2 linked regions of the Elephas maximus indicus genome follow. The protein of the gene in region 1 purifies or fractionates together with the protein of each later gene. This does not show direct contact. Links are inferred from orthologs where the notes say so. Each region holds a gene or a part of one and is shown on either strand. Other genes may lie near its edges.

Region 1 (7,327 bases):
CCCCAAGATATGACAAACTGACAGATGCTTGGGAGGAAATCTTCTTAGCCATAACTAAACACCTTCAAGTACTGCATCACTGGGCTTGAGGGCTGAGACCATTGACTCGGGGGAGATCTAGCTCAACCGGCATAATCTAATCCATAAAGAAGATGTTCCATATCCTACTTTAGTAAATAATGTCTGGGGTCTTAAAAGCTTGCAAATGGCCATCTAAGATACAGCTATTGGTCTCTTCCTGTCTGGAGCAAAGAAAAGAAAATCAAAGAGTGAAGGCAACAATTAGTCCAAAGGACTAACAGACCACTTGAACCACAGCCTCCACTAGCCTGAGATCAGAAGTAGATGGTGCCTGGCTACCCCTATCAACTGCTCTGAGCAGGCTCATAATAGAAGGTCCTGGACAGAGTGGGAGAAAAATTCAAATTCATAAAAAAGACCAGACTTACTGCTCTGATAGAGACTGGTGTAACCCCCAAGACTATGGCTCTTAGACACCCTTCAAACCTGGAACACAACAAACTCCCAGAGATAGTCTTTCAGCCAAACAATAGGCCTATAAAGTAAACAATAACACCCACGAGGAATGTGCTCCTCAGAACAATCAACTATATGAGATCAAAGGGCAGCATTTGCCCAAAACCAAAGTTCAGAAGACAGAAAGGGGCAGGAAAGATGGGCAAATGGAAGCGTAGAACTCAGGGAGGAAGGGAGTAGAGTGCTGTCACGTTGACGCGATTGCAACTAATGTCATGAAACAAAATGTGTGTAAATTGTTGCATGGGAAACTAATCTGCTGTGTAAACCTTCAACCAAATCACAATAAAATGTTCAAAAAAAAAAAAAAAGAACTATCATATGACCCAGCAATTTCAGTCTTAAGACATACCCAGAAGACATGAAGGCTGGAACACAAACAGGAACCTGTACACCAACATTCTCTGCAGCATTTTTCACAATAAGCAAATTGTGAAACAACCAAAATGTCCAACATCATGGACATAAATGGAAAAACAAAATGTGGCATCTACAGATATATATAATGGAATATTACACAGCCAAAAAGAGAAATAAATGCCTGATCATGCCACAGCATGGATGAACCTTGAAAACGTGATGCTGAGTGAAATAAGTCAGCCACAAAAAGACAAATATCATATGGTCTCACTTATGTAAAACAAGCAAACATATAGACACCAAAGATTATTAATGGGAACAGGGATGAGAGGCAGGGAAAAAGACGGAGTTTTTTGTGGGGAGAACTGGGTTTATGTTAACGGTGATGAAATATTTGGAAAAAGATAGCGAAAATGGTGGCACAACATGAAAAATGCAATCAATGTCACTGAATTGTAAATTCAGTGTTATTACTTGTCATATTGACGAATGTTTTGGTGTGTATATTTTCACCAAAATTTAAAAAAAAATTATTACTGCTTTATAAGGAGGCACCCTGGTGGCGCCATGGTTAAAAGCACTCAGCTGCTAATTGAAAGGTCACCAGTTCGAACCCACCAGCCACTCTGGAGAAGAAATATGTAGCAGTCTGCCTCGGTGAAGATTTACAGCGTTGGAAAACCAATGGGGCAGCTCTACTCTGTCCTATAGGATCACTACAAATCAGAATCAACTCAACAGCAGCGGGTTTAGCTTGCTGGGGAAGCTATGCCCTTTCCCTTTGCCATCGAGTCCTCCTTTAAGCCTGGTTTAAGTTAACCTACTAAAACTTGCTGTCTTGTTCTGACTCCTAACCTGAATTCCATGCATGTGTTTCACTTGATCTTGATCCTCCCAACCTGTGCATATGGTTTTTTTCATGGAGAAGGGTCTCTAGCTTCCTCCAGATTTTCCAAGGGATCCATGTCCTTCTAAAACGTAAGAACCCTTATCCTAATGATAGCGTCCATGGGATTCTTATTTTTTTTCACTTTAATTTTTTTTAATGTATATAAAACCATAAACCAAACCCGTTGCCCTCAAGTCAATTCCAACTCACAGTGACCCTACAGCACAAACAGTATACCCAGAAAAGTTAACATTCCTTCCCATCCTTGTCTTGGTCTCCTTCCCAATGGCAACAGTTGTTAATAGTTTGGGTATTCTTCAGCACAGTTTCTCAACCTCAGGCCTACTGCATTTTGGGCCTAATCATGTTTTGTCCTGGGGAGCTGTCCTGTGCATTGTAGGATATTTAGCACCATCTCCTCCCCTGCTCCCCGCCAAACAGTTGTAACCACCACAAATGTCTCCAAACCAAACCAAAAACCCACTGCAGTCGATTCCGACTCACTGTGACCCTGTAAGACAGAGTAAAACCGCCCCATAGGGTTCCCATGAAGCGGCTGGTGGATTCGAACTGCCAACCTTTCGGTTAACAGCCGAGCTCTTAACCACTGCGCTACCCGAAGTCCAGACACTGCCAAATCTGCTGAACAAAACAGCCCCCAGTAGAGAACCACTGTTTCCAGTATACTTTATAAAAGCACAAACGTCTGTGTACTCCTCCTCATTTTGTCCTATAATTGATGACACACACAGAGTTACTTTCCAACCCATTGCGGGATTTGTCCCAGGGACGGGACCAGCCCAGGACTCGGCAGGAGGCGACGGTCACTCACCAGGTCGCGAATGAGCTGGTCCAACAGCTGGTCCCCTCCCTCGGTGTCCTCGCGGCCCTGAGGGGAGCGAGAACGACTCGCCGCGTCCTGCCTCTCAGCCTGGGTGGCCCGCGCTGCCGGGGGTCGCCCCGCGCCCTCCAGGAGGCCCTGGGCCAGTGCCAGGTACCCCGAGGCCTGCTCGCCGCGCCCGGGAACTAACTCGGGCCGCCGTGGCCGCCGCTCGGCAGTCTCGGGCCGCCGCCGCTTCTTCAGCGCCTGGGCCTGCGCCAGCTCCTCCTGCCAGCGCCGGCGGAACTCCTCCAGTCCGTGATTATCCATCGCGGGCGCTCGCGCTTCTCCGCGTCTTCCTCCGCCCAGCCAGGTGCCACGGGACAGTGCCTCCTCCGGAAGTGTCCGCTGCGGCCGGAAACTACCGCCCCTGCGACTCTCCAGTTCCGGGTGGGCGGCCCCGCCCCCTCCGTGCCCCTCCCCACCCGGAGCCCCTCTTGCAGGGCCCTGGCCCACGTGACCGCAGGGCTAGCAGCGCCCAAGACTTAGCTGGGCTGGAGCCCCAGCGACCGGCCTCCCAGCTCTTCTGTTTTCCAGTCTGTGAAAGGGGCATTTGCCAAAGGTTGGCTTTACACCAAGCCCTCCTTCTTCATTCAACAAACGTGTATTGAGCAACTACTATATGCCAGGCACTGGGGATTTAGCAATTAATTCTGAAAAATATTCTTCTCTAGGTGTTTGCATTCAAGTATGGGGAGGCATTAAACAACTAAACAAATGAATATGAACGTTTGAATCAGTCGTAGCTATTATGAAGAAAATAAAACAGGGTCATGTATACAGAAAAGAATTTTAAATTCTCATGGACTCCAGACTTTCCGGATCCACGGAGGCTGGATGAACCCCTGAAACTATAGCCCTGAGATAATCTTTAAACTTTAAATCAAAAATAACCCCTGAAGTATTAAAACCAAACAATATTTTAGCTAAATTAGTAAAGAATGTCTGCCTTGAGCATTGTTCTCTGTTAAGGGATCAAACTGATAACTGCAACTCTAAGGATTAGATAGGAACCTAAGGGGGAGGGGCGTATTATCCAGTAGACAAGTAAGCACAATATGGTAAAACCCATGCGAAATTGTTCACGACAGATGATCTGGTAAGCTTACCTTAAAAAAAAATTGGATAATCTGCCCTTGCTAAGGGTGCCGTAAGTTTATGTTAAAGGAGGAGGAACAACTCAGAAAAGAAGGGTAAGAATAGCTGCACAACTTGAAAAATGTAACCAATGTCACTAAATAGTACATGTAGAAACTTGAATTTGGTGTATGTTTTGCTATGTATATTTTTCAACAACAAAATAAATAAAACTAGAACCTATGGACTGGGAAAAATTTTTGGCCACAAATCTGACAAGGGTCTAATCTCTAACATCTATAAAATATTTCAACACTGCAACAAAAAGACAATCCAGTTAAAAAATGGGTGAAGGATGTGGACACTTCACCAAGGAAAACATTCAGGGGCTAACACAACACTTCAGGAAATGCTCAAGATCACTAGCCATCAAAGAAATACAAATCAAATTTACAGTGAGATACCATCTCACCCTGACATTACTGATACTAATTAAAAAAACAAAATATAAAAAATGTTGGAGAGGTTGCAAGGAGATTAGAACTCTTATGCATTGCTGGTGGGAATATAAAATGTTATAACCACTATGGAAACCAATATGATGCCTCCTTAAAAAGCTATAAATAGAAATACCATATGATCCAGCAATCCTACTCCTAGGAATATATCCTAGAGAAATAAGAGCCATCACACAAATACACATGTGCATACCCATGTTCATTGTAGTATTATTCACAATAGCAAAAAGTTGGAAACAACCTAAGTGCCCATCAATAGATGAATGGATAAACAAATTATGGTACCTACACACAATGGAACAGTACCCAACAATAAAGAACAATGATGAATCCTCAAAACATAACGTGATGAATCTAGAAGGCATTATGCTGAGTCAATCACAAAAGGACAAATATTGTATGAGACCACTATTATAAAAACTCAAGAAAAGGTTTATACACAGATAAAAAACGACCTTTTTGGGGGGCGGTCTCTATACATTTACATTTTCTTGTCCTTATATATAAGTGAGGTCATACAATATTTTCCTTTTGTGACTGGTTTATTTTACTCAGCATAATGTCTTCAAGTTCCATCCGTACTGTAGCGTGTATTAAGACTTTATTTCTCCTACTGGCTGAGTACCACTCAATCATATACATATACCATATTTTGTTTATTCATTCATCTGTTAATGGGCATTTAGGTTGTTTCCACCTTTTGGCTATTGTGAAGAGTAGCTGCTGACCTGCATATGTACAACCCAACACCTCATGGGATTTGGTTCCTTGGTGTGGAGGTTTAGGGTTATAGCTTCACGGGGCATCCCAGTTAACCGGTCTAATAACACATTTAGTGTTTCTGTTCTATCTCCTAGTTCATTGCATAGTGCCTGGGGTCTTAAAAGTTTGCAAGTGGCCATAAAGTGGACAATTGACCAAAAAACACTTTGATGGTTATAAGGGAGGGAGTAAGTGGAGAGGGGAAATCACTAACTAGATAGTAAACAAGTGTTAATTTTGGTGAAGGGAAAGACAACACACAATATAGGGGAAGTCAGCACAACTCGAACAAGGCAAAGCCATAAAAGCTTCTAGATACATCCAAACACCTTGAGGGACCGAGTTGCTGAGGGCTGGGGACTATGATCCTGGGGGACATTTAGGTCAATTGGCATAACATAGTTCATAAGGAAAATGCTCTACATCCTATTTTGGAGGGTAGCATCTGGTGTCTTAAAAGCTTGCCAGCGGCCTTTTAAGATACAACTATAGGTCCCATCCTGTCTAGAGCAAAGGAGAATGAAGAAAAGCAAAGACAGGAGGAAAATATTAGTCCAAAGGACTCACGGACCACATGGGCCATAGCCTCCACCAGCCTGAGCCCACAAGAACTAGATGGTGCTGTCTACCACCACCCACTGCTCTGACAGTGATCACAATAGAGAGTCCTGGACAAAGAAGGAGAAAAGTGTAGAACAAAATTCAAATTCACAGGAAAAAAAAAAAAAAAAAAGACCGGACTTACTGGTCTGACAGAGACTGGAGGAACCCCTGAGACTCTGGCCACCATATACCCTGCTAACTCAGAACTGAAGCCCCTCCTGAAGTCTACTTTCAGCCAAGGATAAGACAGGCCTATAAAACAAACAGTAATACCCATGAGGAATGTGCTTCTTGGTTCAATCAAGTATACGAGATCAAACGGGCAACACCTGCCCAAAAGCAAAGGCGAGAAGGCAGGAAGGGGCAGGAAACCTGGACGAATGGACATGGAGACCCTGGTGTGTAAAGGAAAAGGGGGAGAGTGCTGACACATTGCAGGGATCGCAACTGATGTCACAAAACAATTTGTGTATAAGTTTCTGAATGAGAAACTAATTTGCACTGTAAATTTTCACCTAAAGCCCAATAAAATTTTTAAAAACTAGTGCAGAAGCAAGACAATTGTCTTAGTTATCTAGCGCTTCTATAACAAAAATACCACAAGTGGAAGGCTTTACCAAAGAGAAATTTATTCTCTCACAGTTTAGGAGGTTAAAAGTCCGAAATCAGGGTGCCAGCTCCAGGGGAAGGCTTTCTTTCTCCGTTGGCTCTGGGGCAAGGCCCTTGTCATAAATCTTCTCCTGGTCAAGGAGCTGCTCAGCACAGGAACCCCAGGTCCAAAAGATGCACTATGCTCCCAGTGCTTCTTTCTTGGTGGTATGAGGTCCCCCATGTCTCTCTGCTCACTTCTCTCTTTTATATCTCAAAAGATATTGGCTTAAGACACAATCTTATCCTGTAGATTGAGTCCTGCCTCATCAACACAACTGCCACTAATCCCATCTCATTAACATCATAGAGATAGGATTTACAGCACAGGAAAATCGCAACAGATGACAAAATGATGACAATCAGACAAGACTGAGAATCATGGCCTAGCCAAACTGATACACGTATTTTCGGGGGACACAATTCAATCCATGCCATTCCACCCTTTGGCCCTCAAAAATTCATGTCCTTGCCACATATAAAACACATTCAGCCTGTAGCAAGTCTTAAATCAACTCCAAGTCCAACGTTCAAAAATTCCTCTTCATCTGTGAAATCTAGAATACAAGTTATCTGCTTCCAAAGCACAATGGCACACTAGGCACAAGTTAGACATTTCCATTACAAATGGGAGAAATTGGAGGGAAAGAAGGCATAACAGGCACCAAGCAAGTCAGCAGAACACATTGTATTAGCCCTCCAGGCTTGAAAATAATCCTCTGTTCTTTGAGACCATTTACACAATGGCCATGCCTTCCAGACTCTGGGTGTTGGCCACGTTCTCCAAATTCTGGGTGGAGGCCCCTGGGCCCTGGGCTTTAGCTCCAACTTTCAGACCCACTGGAATGGCAACTCTGTTCCCTTGGCTTTAAGCACATCATTCTCCTAGCCCATCTGAGTGAAGACTTCATCCTTAGAAACTCCAGAGGCCATGGCTCCACCCTTTGAGGCCCCAGGGGTCGAGGCCATACCCTTTGAGACTGAAGCAACTTAGCTTTCTGCGTGCCTTGTCTCTTCAGCTTCTGATTCCTAGTTCCTTGGCCTCTTGGCCCT
Region 2 (7,721 bases), on another chromosome or scaffold:
TGCTAACTGAAGTGTCAGAGGCTCCAATCCACGCAGAGACACCTCAGAAGAAAGGCCTGGCAATGTACTCTTGAAAAATCAGCCATTGGGAAGCCTATGGAGCACAGTTCTACTCTGACGCACACGGGGTCTCCAGGAATCAACTCAGTGGTAGCTGGGTTGCTACAGGCCAAGCCCTGTTCTAGGTACTGGAGATACATACAGTAGAGAACAAATGAGTTTGCATTCTAGCGTGTGGTGGGAGAGAGTCAGACACAAAAGTAAAGCAAAAATAAAGAAAATCATTTCTGACTGTGTTGTGCTAGGAAATAAAGTAGGAGAATAGGATGTAGGAGGGGGTCTTCACTTGGAGTGCCTGGACCTCTTGGGTCTGTGAATCTGAATGGGAAAAATAAAATCACGGCTTTATATTCACAGACCTTTGAGACAGACCATTGCCTTCCATTATGAACATAAGCAACGAGCCCCAGTAGGGTTAGAAGAGCCTGCAACTTTGTCACTGCTGGAAATCACAGCTGTCTTCGTGTGGCTCTTTTAGTTGCTGCGAAACCTCGAAGCACTTCCTCAAAACCTAGACTTGCTGCTAAATCTTTATGTGATGTGGTAATAACAAGCACCATTTCATGAATTTGTTATTTCTTGAATATTTTCATAACTGTAGGGAACAGTCTGTGCTTCAATGGGTCCGTGGCACTGAGAAGGTTAAGAATTCCTGGGATGGGAGGGTCACTCCTGTAAAATGGGAAGGATTCAGAAGGGCCTCTCAGAGAGGTGACCTTTGAGCAGAGGCCTGAATAAGGAGAGAGAGGTTGACAAGAGAAGGTCAGGGGACAGCAAGTACCAAGGCCCTGCAGCAGGAACAGACTGGTTGGGCTGGAATGGAGTGAGAGAGGGGAAGAGGGGAGGAGAGGAGGACAGAGAAGGAAGGAGTGTGAGGGATTTGTAGGGCTTTGTGGGCCATGGTGAGGACTTGGGTTCTATTCTGAGTGAAATGGAGGATTTTAAAAAGATAGAGACAGTGCCGAGTTATTTTTTGAAAGATCCCTCCAGCTGCAGACAAATGGAGAAAATATTGAAGTTGGCAAGGATTTCATTTTACCCGGCTCCACAATCAATGCCTATGGAAACAGCAGTCAAGAAATCAAACCACGTATTGCTCTAAGGTGCACCTGACCCACCAAAAAACCAAACCCACTGCCATCGAGTCGATTCTGACTCATAACAACCCCATAGGTTTTCCAAGGCTGTAAATCTCTATGGAAGCAGACTGCCACATCTTTCTCCCTTGGAACCTCTGGTGGTTTGAAACTGCTGGCCTTTCACTTAGCAGTTGATCACTTTAACCACTATGCCACCAAGGTGCCTGACCTAAGCCACGGTATTTTCAGTCACTTCATACGCATGCGAAAGCTGGGCAATGCATAAGGAAGACCAAAGAATTGACACCTTCCAATTACGGTGTTGATGAAGAATATTGAATATACCATGGACTGCCAGAATAGGAAACCCTGGTGGCGTAGTGCTTAAGAGCTACAGCTGCTAACCAAAGGGTCGGCAGTTCGAATCCACCAGGCGCTCCTTGGAAACTCTATGGGGCAGTTCTACCCTGTCCTATAGGGTCGCTATGAGTCGGAATTGACTCCATGGCACTGGGTCTGGCCAGAAGAATTAACCATGAGGTTGGCAGTTCCAATCCACCAGGAGCTCCTTGGAAATCCTACGGGGGAGTTCTACTCTGTCCTATAGGGTCACTGTGAGTCGGATTCGACTTAGCGGCAATGGGTTGGGTTGGTTGGTTGCCAGAAGAATGAACAAACCTGTCTCGGAAGAAGTACAGCCAGAATGCTTCTTAGAAGCAAGGATGGCAAGACTTCATCTCACGTACTTTGGACATGTTATCAGGAGGCACGAGTCCCTGGAGAGGAACATCATGCTTGGTAGAGGGTCAGTGAAAAAGACAAAGACCCTCGAGGGGACAGATTGATGCAGTGGCTACAACAACGGGCTCAAACATAGCAACAATTGTGAGGATGGTGCAGGACTGGGCAGTGTTTCATTCTGTTGTACGTAGGGTCGCTATGATTCGGAACGACTCCATGGCACCTAACAACAACCAGCTGCTGGAGAGTCCCTGAGTGGCGCAAACAGTTAAACACTCAACTACTAGCCAAAAAAGTTGGCGGTTTGAAACCACCCTGTCACCCCTCAGGGGACAGGCTGGGTGATCTTCCGAAAGGTCACAGCCTTGAAAACCCTATGGAGCAGTTAGTTCTATCCTGCACACATGGCGTAGCCATGAGTTGAAATCAACTAGTTGGCGACTAGCAACAACAACACTGCTGAATTGAGGGTGGATTGTAGGCAGCAAGGAGAAAGCTGGGAGGCAGTGAGGAGGCACTTGCAGGGATTCAACAAGAAAAAAGGGTAGCTAACATGCTTTTTTTTTTTTAACATGCGGTGACTCTTGGGTTAAACCACCCAGCACTTTAATTGGGGAGGAGGGATTCAGCTATGTCCTGACTCCTGACCCCTGTTTTCTATAGAGCCTGCCTGGGTCTATTACTCAAGTACCTAAGATCTGGTTCAAATATCAGGCCCTCCAGTTAGTTTCCCCATCAACCAGAAGATGCTAGTGAGGGCACCCACCTTGCTGTGTAGCTCTAAGGATTCACAATAGGTCCATTCAGCCCATTCATGATGCCTGGACCCAGGGAAATGCTCAATGCCAATGCAAGTTAACTGTTATTATCTTCCTAATGATGTTGTTGGGCTTTTGTTGCTGAGCCGGTAGCCTTTTTCTGACCCTAAGCCCCAGGGATCCTGACCCACTATGTCTGTGGTGAAGCCTGAGAACCTTCACTTTTATCTCATTTCTTTTAGTTAATATTCTTGGTTGCCAAAAATCCAAGCAATCCTAAAGGGTGTCGAGTGAAGGGTACATGCCTCTCCCACCTCAGGGGCTCCCAGGCCCTCTCCCCGGTAACAGCCACTTTAGGCTGTGCTCCCTGGTGGTGCAGTGGTTAAGTGCTACGGCTGCTAACTAAAAGGTCTGCAGTTCAAATTCACCAGCCCCTCGTTCGAAACCCTATGGGGGCAGTTCTACTGTCTTATAGGGTCCCTATGAGTCAGAATCGACTTGATGGCAATGGGTTTGGTTTTTTAGTTTTATACCTGTGACTAGCACAAGTGCATGTCTCGACTATTTGTTCTACACACACAGAGTCAGACTGTTTTGGGTTCAAATCTAGCCTCAGTCACTTCCTGTTTGTGTAACCTCAAAAAGGTGATTTTACTTCTTTGGGCCTCAGTTTCCTTAGCTGTAAAATGGGAATGATAATTGTATTACCTGTCTCGTTGTTACAGTGAGGATCTAATGAATTAATTCACAGAAAGCACTTAAAGTGGGATCTAAAAAACCAAACCAAACCCACTGCCATCGAGTCGATTCCGACTCACAGTGACCCTATAGGACAGAGTAGAACTGCCTCATAGGGTTTCCCAGGCTGTAAACCTTTATGCAAGCAGACTGCCACATCTTTCTCCCACAAAATGGTGCCTAGTATATAGTAAAGTAAAACTTGTAAAAGCTGGCACCTGGGTAAGGTGGAAACCTGTCAGAGAAGGAAAACCAGAGATAAAAAAAAAAACAAAACAGAAAAACAAGGCAGTCTCGTCAAGTTTCAGCTCTCATAGGTTTCACTGTATATAGTATGTAGGTCTCAAACACAGCAATGATTGTGAGGATGGAGTAGAACCTGGCACGGTTTCATTCCGTTATATATAAAGTCTATATGAGTCGGAACCAACTCAAAGGCACCTAACAACAATAGTATATAGGAAAAATGGTCCCTGGGTGGCACAAATGGTTTGTGCTGGACTGTTAACCTAAAGGTTGGTGGTTCAAACCCACCCAGAGGCAAGACAAGCCTGGAGGTCTGCTTCCAAAAGGCCACAGCCTTGAAAATCCTATGGAGCACAGTTCTACTCTGCACACATGGGTTTGCCATGAGTCAGAACCGACTCAATGATAACCAGCAATACCACCACCACCCATCTGTCAGTGGAGACTTGCATGTCGCTATGATGCTGATCAGGTTTAAGCATTCAGACTACAACGGACTAGGAAGAAAGGCCGGTCCATCTTCTTCTGAAAATCAGCCAACGAAAACCCTGCGGACCACAGCAGTCTGATCTGCAGTCCATCACGGGGATGGTGCAGACCAGGGAGCATTTCATTTGTGAATGAGGTCGCCACGAATCTGGCCCATTCTAGGGCAGCTAAACGACAACCACCAGTTTTTTTACCCACATGCATGAATGGGTATGGGGTAGGAATTGCTGGTACCACGAGTCGCGTGCATTTAAAATGTTAATACATAGCGTCAGTGACCTTCAAAAGGGCTGTCCCATTAGCACACCCACCTAGGGGGCTGAGGGTGGGGGACTTGGCCAGAACGGGTATATCTACGATGGCAGGTTTGGGAACTGGCTGCCATTCGGGAAAGGTGCTGACGTGGGCCTCCGCGCTCTTTTCACTTGGAGGCGGGTGGCCCCAACTAGGCCTGGGGCGCGGCCACACCCCTGTGGGGGAGGGGAGAGAGGCCTCCTTAAAGGGAGTGGACAGCCCCCCTGTCAGTCTTCCCGAGTCGGGGAGTGTAAACTGAGAAGGGAGAAGGTGGGCCTCACCCCGGGGAGCGCGAGGAGGAACTTCCTGCCTGTGCGCTCCACCGCACTGGGCGCGCGCCGCGTCAAGGTCAGTCTTGGAGGGGTGGCAGCCTGCCTGGGGGCGGGAGACCCTCCGGGGGGGCCGGGCCGCAGTCTCCCAGCGCCTCGGCCATATTGAATAGCCCCGGCTGAGCCGTCTTTGTCTGGGAAGCGGTCTCGCAAGTTCCAGCCGCCCCTTTGGTGCCTGGGGCAAGACGAACCACCGTGCACTCCAACTTGGAGCAGCTTTCCAGCTTTGCGCGGGCTTGAAGCCTCGGGACAGATTCCTCGCCAGCTCACGTAAGCGTCGTGGGACTTCATTTCCACCAGCCTTTTTTGGGGGGAGCAGACTTGGCCAAGGCCGGCCTGGTGGCAGACAAAGTGGGAGGAGGTGGCTCGTCCCTGGCTGGGGAGGTGAGACCTTCCGGGCAGCATTGTTGGGACTCCCCACCTAAGGCTACAGACTGCGTGACGTTGGGGTCCTTAGCCCCACATTCCGGATTTCACCCTGGAGATCTTAAAGACCCTCGAGAAAAGCCACGTGGGGGGCTGGTTCCCCTGGGGCTTCCTGCCGTCGCCGGACTGCCTAATCCTATGGAGCGTCCCCGACGTCTGCAAGGATGTGGACTTGGATGTCCTCGTGGAAGCCTTGAAGCCCGTGGGGACCTTTAAGAAGATCGGCAAGGTATTCCGCAGGGAGGAAGACTCTACGGTGGGGATGCTGCAGATTGGGGAGGATGTCGACTATCTGCTCATCCCCCGGGAGGTCCGGCTGGCGGGCGGTGTCTGGAGGGTCATCTCCAAGCCCGCCACCAAGGAGGCGGAATTTCGTGAGCGGCTGACCCAGTTCCTGGAGGAAGAGGGCCGCACCCTGGAGGATGTGGCCCGCATCATCGAGAAGAGCACCCCGCACCCGCCCCAGCCCCTCAAAAAGCCCAAGGAGCCCCGAGTGCGGAGGAGAATTCAGCAGATGGTGACGCCTCCGCCCCGTCTGGTCGTTGGCACGTATGACAGCAGCAACGCCAGTGACAGCGAATTCAGCGACTTTGAGACCTCCAGGGACAAGGGCGGCCACGGCTCGGGCCGGGCCCGGAGGGTTCGAAAAATGCCGGTCAGTTACCTGGGCAGCAAGTTCCTGGGAAGCGACCAGGAGAGCGGGGACGACGAGGAGCTGGTGGAGGCCTTCCTGCGGCGCGGGGAGAAGAAACCTAGCGCGGCCCCTGCCCGCCGCCGGGTGGCGCTGCCCGTGCCAGTGGCCGAGGACGACCCGCCCCAGCTCTCCAAGGCCGACAGGTGGCGCGAGTATGCCAGCCAGGTGTCCTGGGGGAAGCTGAAGCGCAGAGTGAAGAGCTGGGCGCCCAGGTCTTTGCCGGGCGTGGGCGATACCCAGCAGCCCGTGTCCAGGATGGAGAGTGACAGGGCGTCAGGGCCAGGCTGCGCCAGCCGGGGGGAGAACGCGGGAAACACAGGAGATGGGCGGCAAGCCGGGACCCTCCCACGACGGTGGCGGCCCAAGATCAGCTGGGGTTCGTTGAGGCGACGCCGGAGGGAGGAGGTAGCATCCATAGCTCAGGGGGCAGAGGTGCTGGGTGACCAGAGGATAGAGGTCCCAGTTGACCGGAGAGCAGAGGTCCCAGCTGACCAGGTGGCAGAGGCCATAGCTGACCAGAGGGTAGAGATCCCAGTTGGCCAGGGGGCAGAGGTCCCAGGTGACCAGGGGGCAGAGGTCCCAGGTGACCAGGGGGCAGAGGTCCCAGGTGACCAGGGGGCAGGGGTCCTGGGTGACCAGAGGGCAGAGGTTGAAGCTGACCAGGTGGCAGAGGCTGCAGCTGACCAGAGGGCAGAGGTCGCACCTGACCAGAGGGCAGAGGCCGCAGCTGACCAGGTGGCAGAGGTTGCAGCTGACCAGGTTGCAGAGGCTGCAGCTGACCAGGCGGCGGAGGCCCCAGATATCCAGGGGGCCCCAGGGGCAACCCCAGGAGCCAGAGCCCGGAAACAGGTCAAGACAGTGAGGTTCCAGACCCCTGGACGTTTTTCATGGTTTCGCAAGTCACGGAGAGCCTTCTGGCACACACCCAGGCTGCCAACCCTCCCCAAGAGAGTCCCCAGGGCAGGCGAGGCCAGGAGCCTCAGAATGCTGAGGGCCGAGGGCAGAGCAGAAGCGGAGCAGGGAGATCAAGAAGACCAGCTGTGAGGGCGAGGGCGGGGGCCCTGTGGAGCACCCCTTGCCACATTCTGCATTATCAGCCACTTGGGCATGTCCTTACCCCTCCCAGACCTGGACTGAGATGGTTTCACTCTCTGCTTCTGCACCTGAAAATCCAAGGGACAGAGAGAGAGGGGGCGAGACAACGCCTCCATATTTCCACCTGACAACCTTCTTCCTTTTTCTGTTAAAATTTTCTCTCTCGTGTATTAATTTTTTTATACCCACTCCTTATAGCAACTCAAGGAATGTAATGAGAAAAATCGATACAGCGGGGTTGCAGCCAGGTACTTTTAATTCCCTAGGTGCTCATTTTAAAAAGGGGAGCGAGACGGGGCAAAATTCATGGCTTCTCCCCTTTCGCTGGGTGATTGACATTTGCTGTCTCTTTGAACTTCAAAAGAGGGCTCAAGCTGACCTGCAAGTGAAAACATTAAAAAAAAAAAAACTTAGATTTTGGCTTTGGACTTGACAACTGAAGAATGCTCGAGGGCTATTTGGTCATGTGCCCTCACTGTCCCCCCCACTCCCATCCTCAATGGTAATGACCATGGTTACTTTGGTCCCCTGGGCTCTGCTGGTTTGAAGGGTGCAGGGCCCATGGTTTATGCCCTTCAACCTGTCCTTGGCTGTGAGGTTGGGGGCCATAAGTGTGCATACAAATCACCTGGGGAATGTGTTCAAAATGCACATTCCTGAACCCTTCACACCACAGATATGAATTTGCTAGTGTGGCCCAGGAATCTATTTTGATCCAGCTCTTATGGGCTTTACCCAGGGCAGCTCGCACACTTGCCATTCACTGGCCGTG

What was found. The genes of interacting proteins can lie anywhere in the genome.
Region 2: the proteins of FBXW8 (region 1) and CCDC8 purify together in Homo sapiens (affinity purification with mass spectrometry; 3 studies listed by BioGRID and IntAct, with this or other methods). This does not show direct contact. The link is inferred for Elephas maximus indicus from reciprocal best matches to the Homo sapiens genes FBXW8 and CCDC8.

The regions. Positions count from the first base shown.
Region 1 is NC_064840.1:14,593,054-14,600,380, reverse strand, and holds the start of FBXW8 (F-box/WD repeat-containing protein 8), read right to left. Parts: upstream 3,009-7,327; 5' UTR 2,937-3,008; coding exon 2,619-2,936; intron 1-2,618. UniProt on the Homo sapiens protein: Substrate-recognition component of the Cul7-RING(FBXW8) ubiquitin ligase complex, which mediates the ubiquitination and subsequent proteasomal degradation of target proteins.
Region 2 is NC_064829.1:103,275,529-103,283,249, forward strand, and holds the start of CCDC8 (coiled-coil domain-containing protein 8), read left to right. Parts: upstream 1-4,714; 5' UTR 4,715-5,422; coding exon 5,423-6,898; 3' UTR 6,899-7,721. UniProt on the Homo sapiens protein: Core component of the 3M complex, a complex required to regulate microtubule dynamics and genome integrity. It is unclear how the 3M complex regulates microtubules, it could act by controlling the level of a microtubule stabilizer.